2 linked regions of the Yarrowia lipolytica genome follow. The protein of the gene in region 1 interacts with the protein of each later gene in a pairwise test. Links are inferred from orthologs where the notes say so. Each region holds a gene or a part of one and is shown in the gene's direction. Other genes may lie near its edges.

Evidence for each region. The genes of interacting proteins can lie anywhere in the genome.
Region 2: the proteins of YALI1_B18451g (region 1) and YALI1_E22029g interact in a protein complementation assay, tested with the Saccharomyces cerevisiae proteins (2 studies listed by BioGRID). The link is inferred for Yarrowia lipolytica from reciprocal best matches to the Saccharomyces cerevisiae genes SLH1 and RQT4.

Annotation. Positions count from the first base shown.
Region 1 is NC_090771.1:1,839,570-1,847,152, reverse strand, and holds YALI1_B18451g (uncharacterized protein), read left to right. Parts: upstream 1-1,578; coding exon 1,579-1,968; intron 1,969-2,015; coding exon 2,016-7,316; downstream 7,317-7,583. Other genes in the region: YALI1_B18472g (uncharacterized protein), read left to right, coding at 1-269; YALI1_B18460g (uncharacterized protein), read right to left, coding at 397-1,119; YALI1_B18391g (uncharacterized protein), read right to left, coding at 7,346-7,583. UniProt on the Saccharomyces cerevisiae protein: Involved in activation of the ribosome quality control (RQC) pathway, a pathway that degrades nascent peptide chains during problematic translation.
Region 2 is NC_090774.1:2,201,065-2,204,912, reverse strand, and holds YALI1_E22029g (uncharacterized protein), read left to right. Parts: upstream 1-1,959; coding exon 1,960-3,327; downstream 3,328-3,848. Other genes in the region: YALI1_E22041g (uncharacterized protein), read left to right, coding at 744-1,652; YALI1_E22004g (uncharacterized protein), read right to left, coding at 3,443-3,848.

The DNA of each region.
Region 1 (7,583 bases):
ACGACCAAACCGAGAAGATCATCAGAGCTGCGCTTGGAGTCTTTGATATCGCCATCTGGTACATTCTAGGTATCTCCACCTCCTTTAAGATCCTCACCCAGATGATTCTCGCCTGTTTCCTTGTGGTTCTGGCTGGTCTTAAGATCTACATCAACCCTCGAGTTGGAGGGGCTCTTCTGGCCGGCAGTCTGCTATTTGTGGCTGCTGTCTGGTTCGGATTCCGCCGAGACGGTCGAGAGGCCCGAGACGATCTTAACGATGGACAGTAGCTGATGTCTTGGTGAAGAATACGTGGATTGACTACGGGAGGAATGTACTCTATCTCGCAATCAGTCTACTGTAACGGTAAATAGAATAAATTATAGTATATGGTAATATGGTACAGTTGTAGCTTGGCTATGGTAGAGCAGAAACGGCCTGAATGGCTGCAGCTTCGCTCTCAAACCCGTCTTTAGGGAACCCTTCGTCCTTATCTTCACTATCGACAATCTTCAGTGTGGGATGCCGCTTGACCACTCCAATAGACAGACCTCTCCACATCCAGGGCACCGGGCTAGCTGGAATTTCAATTTCGGCCTTGAAATCCTCAATGAACCGGTCTGCGGTCGCTGTGAGCTGTGCAAACCCAACATACTCGCCTGTGATTGAAACAGACGACCAAAACGACAGTTTTCGCAGACACGCCACCACCAGCGACGTCACTTCCGAGCCGTTCAGACAGTGAATATATGTGGGCTGACAGTCAGCGTCCATCATGTATCCAATAGCCTCAATGGCCACCTCGTAGTTGATAGGCAGCGTTCTGGTCTTCTTTTTTGTCTTTCGCGCTTCTTTCTTCTCCGTCTTCTTCTTCTCCTTTTCCTTGGCTTGTGTCTCGGGATCCTCAAACAGTGACTTGTAAGCCTTTCCTTCGGGCGCTGCGGGAATGTGGATCACGGTGATATCATTGTCTTCGGCCCATTGCGCAAACGGACCCTCTATGGGTTTCGGTGTCAGAGAAACAATGGTTTTGAGTCGTAAACGCTGCAGGAAGCGTAAATTTTGTTTCCGGGGATAAGAGCCGCGGTAAAGATGGGGCTGGACGGTGCCGAATCGTAATGGCGCAATAATTTCCGTCATCGGTGTGCGTAGTGGTGATGATGTTGCACGTTGTTTTAGCTCAGTCAGTTAGGAGGTGAGTTCCGTTTTGAGTTGGTTTTAGTTACTTGTTGGAAGTGTGGATAGCCTAATTGTTGGGTTCTAGTTGGATTTTGTGAGGAAGATACCAATCCACCAGCAATATATTAAGTAACATTTAAGATTCCTCAAGTAGAGAAACACGTACTAGTGAAGGACCCAGTACAAGATGCAGTTGAAGATAGCCAGAGGGAAAATGACGACTATAATATATACTGCTCACAAGTAGTGATATGAATGAAATCAATATACTTCCACATCCCCAGTACTTCTAAACAACCCAATGCAGAAACTCTGGAGCCTTTTCATCATCGGCTGTCACACTTGCATGAACCTAATGTCCCTGGTCCAAGTCTCTTGCTTACATCTTCATCCTGATCTGGCGATCTGACTAAACAACCAATGTTGGATCTTACTGAATACGAGCAGTTCGCGCAACTAGCGCAGGAGCTAGAGCCCCAAGACGAGGTCTACTCAGGCTTCGACAAGTTCAACCAGCTAGATGCCCCCGATATGGACATTCCTCTGATGGAGCATCTCGAATTCTTTGAGGACCCTTCTTCTGACGATGGAGAATACAACAATGCGGCATTTGAGTGGCTGACAAGCAAGTGCGTTGAGGTACACCGAAAGAACGGTCGAAGCGACACCCCCGAGCAGTTCGAGGCAGCCATCTTGGATATGTTACAAAGTAACAGGAGCTCTGATGAACTACAGATGCAACTGCTGGAAGAGGTTGGCTATGACGATGTCGACTTTGTGATTGAACTACTTGAGAAGAGAAATGATTTGGTAAGTATGAACGAACTTTTTTGATGTCTTACTACTAGCTAACCCAGAAAATATCAGCTGCGGCAGCCCTGCCCAATGGCTACTCGCTAATGACACCCGAACAAAAGGCACAGCAGCTCCGAGACAATCGTGCTCGTGCCAAGGCGCTGCCCGACAACCCAGTGCCCACACAGAAGAAATATCCCAACGTCTACATGTCTGGAGATGGAGGAAATGTGCTTTCTAGTTTGGGTAAGAAGTACGGTCTTCCTGTGGGAAGCGAGAAGCTGGTGTTCAATAAACATGAGGAGATTATTGTCCCGTACCCCAAGAAGCGACCCGTGCTCATCGAGTCAAACTTCATTCCTCTCAAGGACCTGGATATCATTTGCAGAGGAGCTTTCAAGGCCTACAAGTCACTTAACCAGATTCAGTCGCTGGTGTATCCAGTTGCATACAACACTAGTGAAAACATGCTTGTCTGCGCTCCCACAGGTGCTGGTAAGACCGATGTGGCTATGCTGACGGTCCTGAGTACCATCAACCAATTCTCCGATATCAGTCCCGAGGGAGACGTGACTGTGCATTACAACGATTTCAAGATTGTCTATGTAGCCCCTTTGAAGGCTCTGGCTGCTGAGATTGTCGTCAAACTTGGTAAACGTTTGGCTTGGCTGGGTATCAGTGTTCGAGAGTTGACCGGAGATATGCAGTTGACCAAGGCTGAGATTATGGCCACTCAGGTCATTGTCACCACTCCTGAGAAGTGGGATGTGGTAACCCGGAAATCCACCGGTGACAATGAGCTAGTTACAAAGGTCAAGCTGCTGATTATCGACGAGGTACATCTTCTGCATGAAGATCGAGGTGCTGTTATCGAGTCTCTCGTGGCCCGAACACTTCGACAAGTTGAGTCAACCCAGTCGTTAATTCGAATTGTTGGTCTGTCTGCTACTCTGCCCAATTTCATTGATGTTGCTCAGTTTCTGCGCGTCAACCCCGAGATTGGTATGTTTTTCTTCGACTCCTCCTTCCGACCTGTGCCTCTCGAGCAGCATTTCATTGGTGTTCGAGGAAAGCAGGGCTCAAATGAGTCCCGAGAAAACATCGACGAGATTGCCTACGAAAAGCTTGTCCAAGAAGTCGGACAGGGGGGACACCAGGTCATGGTTTTTGTCCATAGTAGGAAGGATACAGCCAAGTCGGCCATGAAGTTCGTTCAAGCTGCCCAGGCCAATGGTGAGTCAGAAATCTTCTCGTGCGCGACCGATCCTAACTACGGTCTGTACACCAAGGACGTTATGAAGGCCAAGAACAAGGAGGTCCGAGAACTTTTCCAGCACGGTTTCGGTATACATCATGCTGGTATGTTGCGGTCAGACCGTAACCTGACTGAGAAGCTGTTCGCAGATGGTCTCATCAAGGTTCTCTGCTGTACTGCCACTCTTGCCTGGGGTGTCAATTTGCCTGCAGCCGTGGTCATTATCAAGGGCACTCAGGTCTACGAGGCGAAGAAAGGAGGGTTCACTGATCTCGGTATTTCCGATGTCATTCAGATTTTTGGTCGAGCTGGCCGTCCTCAGTTTGAAAAGTTTGGTACTGGTATCCTGCTTACTTCTCTGGACAGATTGTCGCATTTCATCTCCGCAGTTACTGAACAGCATCCCATTGAATCCAAGCTGCAGGATCAAATTGTCGACAACCTGAACGCCGAGATATCGCTCGGAACAGTCACCAATGTGGATGAGGGTGTTGCCTGGCTGGGTTACACCTATCTCTTTGTGCGAATGCGAAAGAACCCTCTTGCTTATGGTCTCACTTGGGCTGACGTCCAGGATGACCCAATGCTTGGAGGTCACCGTCGAAAGCTAATCGTGGCAGCCGCTCAGCGACTGCATACCCTTCAAATGATTGTGTTTGATGAGCGAGTGGGTTCTTTCGTCAGCAAAGATAGTGGTCGAGTTGCATCAGACTTCTACCTGCTCAACAACTCGATTGAGATTTTTAATACCATGATGAAGCCCGACGCATCCGAAGCTGATGTTTTGGCCCTACTGTCAATGTCTGGCGAGTTTGATGGTCTCAAGGGTCGCCCCGAGGAGATGGAGGAGCTTGAGAAGTTCCAGAACTCGGACGATATGCCCTGCCAGCCTTACGGAGCACTTACCACCACTCAGGGTAAGACTAACCTGGTGCTGCAGGCTTACATTTCTCGATACCAGTTCAAGGAGTCGTCTCTGATCTCGGACATGGGCTATGTCGCTCAGAATGCATCTCGTATCGCCCGTGCTCTATTCTCTCTGGCTCTCAACAGACGATGGGGTAACCTTGCTTACTCGCTCTTGTCTATGTGCAAGGCCATTGACCAGCGACTATGGCCTTTTGCTCATCCCTTGCACCAGTTTGAGCTTCCTGATCACATAATGCGAATTCTGGACGCCAAAGACCCTTCGATTGATGATCTGCGAGATATGACCGCCAAGGAGATGGGTGATCTCGTTCACAACCATTCTATGGCCTCCAAGTTGTATCGGTTTGTGGACAGATTCCCCTACATGATGATGGAAGCGGACATTGCACCTATTACAAAGTCAGTACTCCGTGTGCATCTCGACATTTGGGCCGATTTCCACTGGGACGAAAAGTACCACGGAAAGGTGCAACATTTCTGGCTTTGGGTTGAGTCGTCCGATAATGCTCACATTTCGCATGTTGAGAAGTTCATGTTGAGCAAGCGAAAGCTGCATGATGTTCATAACATTGACTTCACCATCCCCATATCGCAGCCAATTCCTTCTCAGATTGTTGTGCGATTGGTTTCAGACCACTGGGCTCACGTCGAGACGGTACAAACAGTGTCTTTCAAGCACCTCATTATGCCTGATCACGAAACCATACACACCAAGCTACTTCGTCTGCGTCCTCTGCCTATCGAAGCTCTCCGAAACCCCATCATTGAGAACATCTACGCCAAGAAGTTTCAGTTCTTCAACCCCATGCAGACAATGTGTTTCCACTGTCTCTACCACATGGATACCAACGTCTTCCTGGGTTCTCCCACCGGTTCCGGAAAGACTGTTGCCTGTGAGCTGGCCATGTGGGCTGCCTTCAGAGACAACCCGGGCTCCAAGGTCGTCTACATTGCTCCTATGAAGGCTCTTGTTCGAGAGCGAGTTGAGGACTGGGGTAAGCGACTCAAGGGTTTCAAGCGAATCGTCGAGTTGACTGGTGATTCCAACCCAGATGCAGGAGAGGTTCGACGTGCTGACATCATCATTACGACACCCGAGAAGTTTGATGGTATCTCGCGAAACTGGAAAACTCGAAAGTTCGTCCAGGGCGTGTCCCTGGTCATTATGGATGAGATCCATTTGCTTGCTTCCGACCGAGGCCCCATTCTGGAGATGATTGTGTCTCGAATGAACTATGTTGGAGGCCAGACAGGTCGAAAGGTGCGACTTTTGGGTCTCTCTACAGCCGTGTCTAACACCACGGATATGGCTGGGTGGCTGGGAGTCAAGGAGGGTCTGTTCAACTTCCCCCCTGCCGTTCGTCCCGTTCCCCTGCAGATGTACATTGACGGTTTCCCTGACAATGTCGGTTTCTGTCCTCTGATGAAGACAATGAACAAGCCCGCATTCATGGCCATCAAGAGTCACTCACCCACCAAGCCTGTATTGATTTTCGTCGCTTCTCGACGTCAGACCCGACTTACTTCTCTTGATCTCATTCACCTGTGTGGTCTCGAAGACAATCCTCGACGGTTCCTCAGCATGGACGAAGATGAGCTGCAAGCCATTCTTCTGCAGGTCAAAGACGAGACTCTCAAGCTGTCGCTTCAGTTTGGTATTGGTCTGCATCATGCTGGCCTGGTTGAGAGTGATCGTCGAATTTCTCACGAGCTGTTTGCTGCCAACCGAATTCAGATTCTCATTGCCACGTCAACTCTTGCATGGGGTGTCAACTTGCCAGCTCACCTGGTTGTCATCAAGGGCACTCAGTTCTACGACGCCAAGATTGAGGCCTACCGAGATATGGACCTGACCGACATTCTGCAGATGATGGGTCGAGCCGGACGTCCTGGATTCGATACCAACGGTATTGCAATGGTTTACACAAAGGAAAGCAAGAAGGCCTTCTACAAAAACTTCTTGAACGTTGGTTTCCCCGTCGAGTCGCAGCTTCACAAGGCCCTGGAGGACCATCTTGGTGCTGAGATTGTCACTGGGTCAATAAAGTCTCGACAGGATGCCATGGACTTTTTGTCGTGGACCTTTTTGTACCGACGAGTGTACTCGAACCCCACCTACTACGGTATTCAGGAGCAGACTCCCGAAGCAGTTGGTGAATATCTTTCAGATCTCATTGATGACTCTCTGGATGCTCTTTCTGAGTCGTCCTGTCTGCAACTTCATGCTGACGGTACTCTTTCTGCTACCTCCTTTTTGCGAATCTCTTCGTACTACTACCTGTCTCACAAAACCGTGCGGTTCATCATTTCTGATGCTTCCAACGACTCCACTTTTCGAGATGCTCTGGTTTGGGTGTCCAAGGCTACCGAGTACGATCTCCTTCCTGTCAGACACAATGAAGATCTTGTCAACGCTGAGTTGTCCAAGGAGATGCGGTACTCCGGAGAGTCCATGGATTTGGTCATGTGGGATCCTCATGTGAAAGTCTTCCTGCTTCTGCAGGCGTACATGTCTCGTGTCAAGCTGCCCATCACCGATTACATTCAGGATACTGTATCCGTTCTGGACCAGACTTTGCGTATCCTGCAGGCTGCTGTTGATACTGTTGCTGAGCTGGGTCTGCTCTTTGCCGTCAAGACAGCCATTACAGTCATGCAGTGCATCAAGCAGGGTGCCTGGCCTGATGCTGATCCTGTTACGCTACTTCCTGGAATGAAGCCTCAGGATCGAGCCATCACCAAGTTTGAGGAGCGCGACGAGATCACCCTCGATACTCTCGGTAACATGTCTCCTGAAAAGATCAAGACTGCTGCTCAGAAATTTGGATGCCGAAACATCAACGATTTCGTTCGGGTGGCTTCTTCCCTGCCTGTTGTGGACATTGACTACTTGCGTGTTGATGACAAGATGACAGTGACCATGACTCACAAGAACAAGCCCCTTCACGCTGACTTCCGAATGCCCTGCCCCAAGTTCCATAAACCCCAGAAGGAGTCATGGTTTGTTATTCTTAGCTGTGGCGAAGATCTGCTTGGAATCAAGCGAGTGTCTCCTCAGCCTGGCAAGCCCATGCATACCGAGCTCAAGATTCCTCCTGGATACGAGACCAAAAATCTGATTCTCGAGTGCATCAACGATGCTCTTGATTTATCTTATGACATTGAGGTCCAGGTTTAGATGTAATTAGAGAAGCGAATGCATGTGTATTAAGTATTTGTATCTACGGTGTCTTTTGTAGACACATCCAAATCTCGCAAGCCCAACACTTGGTAAAAATGTGCTTTCAACTGGTCAACCATGTGAACTTGAGCGGCCCCTATCATCCTATAATATTGAAGTTGGAGATAGACGGTAAGTAGACGGGCTAAGGTTGTTGCCAGTAGATCTGTAGGCATGGAGTACGCTCCAGGTATCTTGTAGAGCCACCAAGCCATGAAAATAGTC
Region 2 (3,848 bases), on another chromosome or scaffold:
TATTTTGGGTTGCTTAAGTATTTTCCTAGAAATGTAAAATTAGAACATAAAATAAATTGATTAGAATAAAATAAATAAGATAAATAAAAATTGTGGATTTGGAGAGATTAAAAATCGAATTTAATAGATTATTAAGACATTCAACAGATTCATTAAATATTGGGCATCTACTGAAGGAAAGTGTAGGCTGATATCCAAACACGGTGCGTCCTTTTCGTGGTACTCCTCCGGTGTTACTCTCTGTATTTTAGTGCACATTTTCCGGACTTTGTACAGTCTAATTATTGATTACATCATCTGGACGAATACATTTGCTGTTGCTCTCGTTTGCACTCGGACCGCTCGGTTCTTGTTTCGATTTGATTTTTCTACAAAATTCGCTCGCAAAACATGTAGAAAATGCCGCTTGCTATGACGTCAAGTGGTGATCTTTTCTGCCGGCCAGGGCCAGAAATGTGCGTCAAGTTTTCAGAGGGACAAAAATGTACGTCATTTCGCACCACCGAAAACTGCAGATGCCTGCGTCCACCAAGCACACCATTACGTCACACGAAACCTCCAAGCTGGATATACTCAAGGTCCGGAAGAATCTACGAGCAGAATGATCCGAGAGCGTTGCCGAATGTGTATATATATAGGTGGTTGATCCCCCCTGGAGTCTGCATCAAACACCAATTGACACACACACACACACACACACACACACACACAACACACACAATGGGACTTCTATCGACTTCACTATGAACAACGGCAAGACTATCCCTGCCATCGGTCTGGGAACGTGGAAGTCGACCACCGAGGAGGTTGCCGGAGCTGTCGAGTGCGCTCTCACCGAGGGAGGTTACCGACATATTGACACCGCCTTCAACTACCGAAACGAGGACGCGGTCGGTCTCGGTATCAAGCGGGCCATGGAAAAGGGTGTCAAGCGAGAGGACATCTTTGTCACCACCAAGATTTGGGTCACTTACCATGACCGAGTCGAGGAGAACCTGGATCTGTCGCTGGAGCGACTGGGTCTCGATTACGTCGACATGCTGCTCATCCACTGGCCGGTGCCCCTCAACCCCAACGGAAACGACCCCGTCTACCCTCTGCGACCGGACGGATCTCGAGACATTGACGAGTCCGGCTCGCAGCCTAAGACCTGGAAGCAGATGGAGGCCGTTCTGAAGACCGGCAAGACCAAGTCCATCGGAGTCTCCAACTTCTCCATTCCCTACCTGGAGGAGCTGCTCAAGGAGGCCGAGGTGGTCCCCGCTGTCAACCAGGTCGAGCTGCACCCTCTGCTGCCCCAGCTCGAGCTCATGGAGTTCTGCAAGAAGAACAACATCATCATGACTGCCTTCTCTCCTTTCGGATCTGTCGGAGGCCCTCTGCTCAAGAACGAGCTGGTTCTCAAGCTCGCCGATAAGTACGAGACCTCTCCCGGCGGTATTCTCACTTCCTACCACATTGGTAACGGCACTGTTGTCATTCCCAAGTCCGTCACCAACTCTCGAATCATCGAGAACGGTAAGTCCGCCGTCAACCTGTCCAAGGAAGACCTGCAGGCTCTCAACGATCTGCACAAGACCGAGGGTATCCACCGAACTTCCAAGCCCAAGTGGGGAGTTGATCTCGGTTTCCCCGACTTTGATTTCTGTTAGAAGGTGCCACATTATTTATTAGACATAGACATAGAATTGATTTTACTAGACATTTGAGCGTGAGAGTATGAGTATTTCTATAAAAGTATCGTCGAGTATAAATTCGGAAAGAATCAACTATTCTGACCACTTTGATATCATTTTCCCATCCTCCTACATTATATTCAATTTTTTACGTATTTTTTTGTATATTTTTTTTTGTTTTCTTTTATCAAATCACGTGCAGTTTGCCTGGTCATGCATGCTTATCACCAGCATTTGGTACGACTTGATCCCAGCAACCTCCTAATTCCTTCATTCAAACGATATGGAAAAATACACAGTGACCGAAGAGTACGCCAAGGACATGGTTGGCCGGTTGCTCGGCGGGTTCGACAAGGAGACCGTCGCCCAGCTGGTGGATCAGGGCATGAAGAAAACCGATCCTCTGGAGGTGCACAGCTACTTTGTGGAGCTTCTGGGCGAGTCTGAGCCGGTGTTCCGGTTTGTGGAGGAGTTCAACCGCAAGCGGTTCTCGTCCAAGAAGCTGGAGAAGTCCAAGGCTGAAAAAATGGCCAAGAGCGAGCCCCCCAAGAAGAAGGCATCGTGGGCCACCAGAACGGCAGGAGAAAAGGTGGAGGAGGAGAAACAGAAGAAGGAAAAGACACCTCGCAACCGGCTGGCCGGCGTGGGTAAGGGCGGAGCAACAACTTCCGAACTGCTGGATCTCAAGCCCAAGACCAAGGCCAAAAACAAAATCAAGGTGGATTCGATTGCCGAAATCGACCAGGCATTACGGGACCTGGAGCTGGTGGAACATGGAGATGTGCGCAAAGACGGCACCACGGCGCGCGCAAAATGCGACTGCATGGCTTCCCGACACCCGTTGCTGGAGGTTGCCCCCAACTGCATGAACTGTGGCAAGATCCATTGCCTGAAGGAAGGGCTAGGGCCGTGCACATTCTGTGGCACTCCTCTGTTGAGTGCGGAGGAGCGCAATGAAATTTCGTCGGTTTTGTACCAACAAAAGGAGGACATTCGGTCTGTGAACGCCCCCAAACAGGCGGTGCCCAAAAAGAAACAAAAGGCCATCAAGTACAACTTATCTAATGCTGGGGGGCGGGCTGCGCAGGAAGAGGCCATCAAACAGATGGAGGAGGAGAACCGGCAGGCGCAGGAGGCCAAGGAGAAGGAGCTTCAGCAGGCCAAGGAGCGGCTTGACACCCTGATGGCGTTCCAGGACAGTCAGGCGGAGAGAACCCGGATCATCGACAACGTGGGCGACTTTGAACTGCCCTCGGCAGGTGTCAACCAGTGGGCTTCGGCGACAGAGAGGGCGTTGCAGCTCAAGAAGCAGCAGCGGCAAATGGCCAAGATGGAGGAACGAGACGCTCGGAAAAAGGGCAAGAAGCATGTCATTTCGCTGGGTCTGGATGGCAAGATCCGAGAGCAGGAAATGGAGGACGATAGCACAGATGACGAGGAGTTGAGAGAACTTGAGTCCAAGATCAAGTCTGAAAAGCAAGAGGTGGCGGAGCTGAACTCGCAGAACGTGTGGAACCCGGCCATGGCTGACTCCAAGTTGAAGCGCGTCAAGTACGTGTCTAGAGGAGATGTTCAGGAGCGACGGGTTGAGGAGAGGGGCATTATTGACATTGACGGTGAGGATGATGAAGAGCGGCTCATGCGGTTGTAGGGATAGGTAAATACTCGTAATCTATATCATTCATATTCAGGTAATATCTACAAAGTGTTAGTTATACAAGTAATTGCTCTCTTGTTTTCGTTCAGAATAAATAATTACATGGCGCCTACAGAATAGGCAGAAAGTTGCCGACAATCATCATGGGAATGTCAAACACGTCTCGTTTGATGGTCAGCGAACACGCCGTGTTGACCACCTCGCCTGAGGGTTTGGTGAGGCCAAACGTGGTGGTAATCGTGCCTCTGCTGTCTCCAAACGCCAGCTCGGAGAAGACGTCAAAGTACTGTACCACAGACTTGTTGTCCATGCACTCGATGATGAACTGACTCAGCAAATCTGCCTGCGATCGCATCGTCAGCACACAAAACTCCTTTCCAACGGCAGCTATCTGGCCGGTTCGTCTCCAGAGCACCGTGGGCGTTCCACTTAACGAAATGTACTTTTCAAACTCCAGCAGCGTGCGTTGGAAGCACTTTTCCATGAACACAAGATCTTCGTACTGCAGGGTCTGG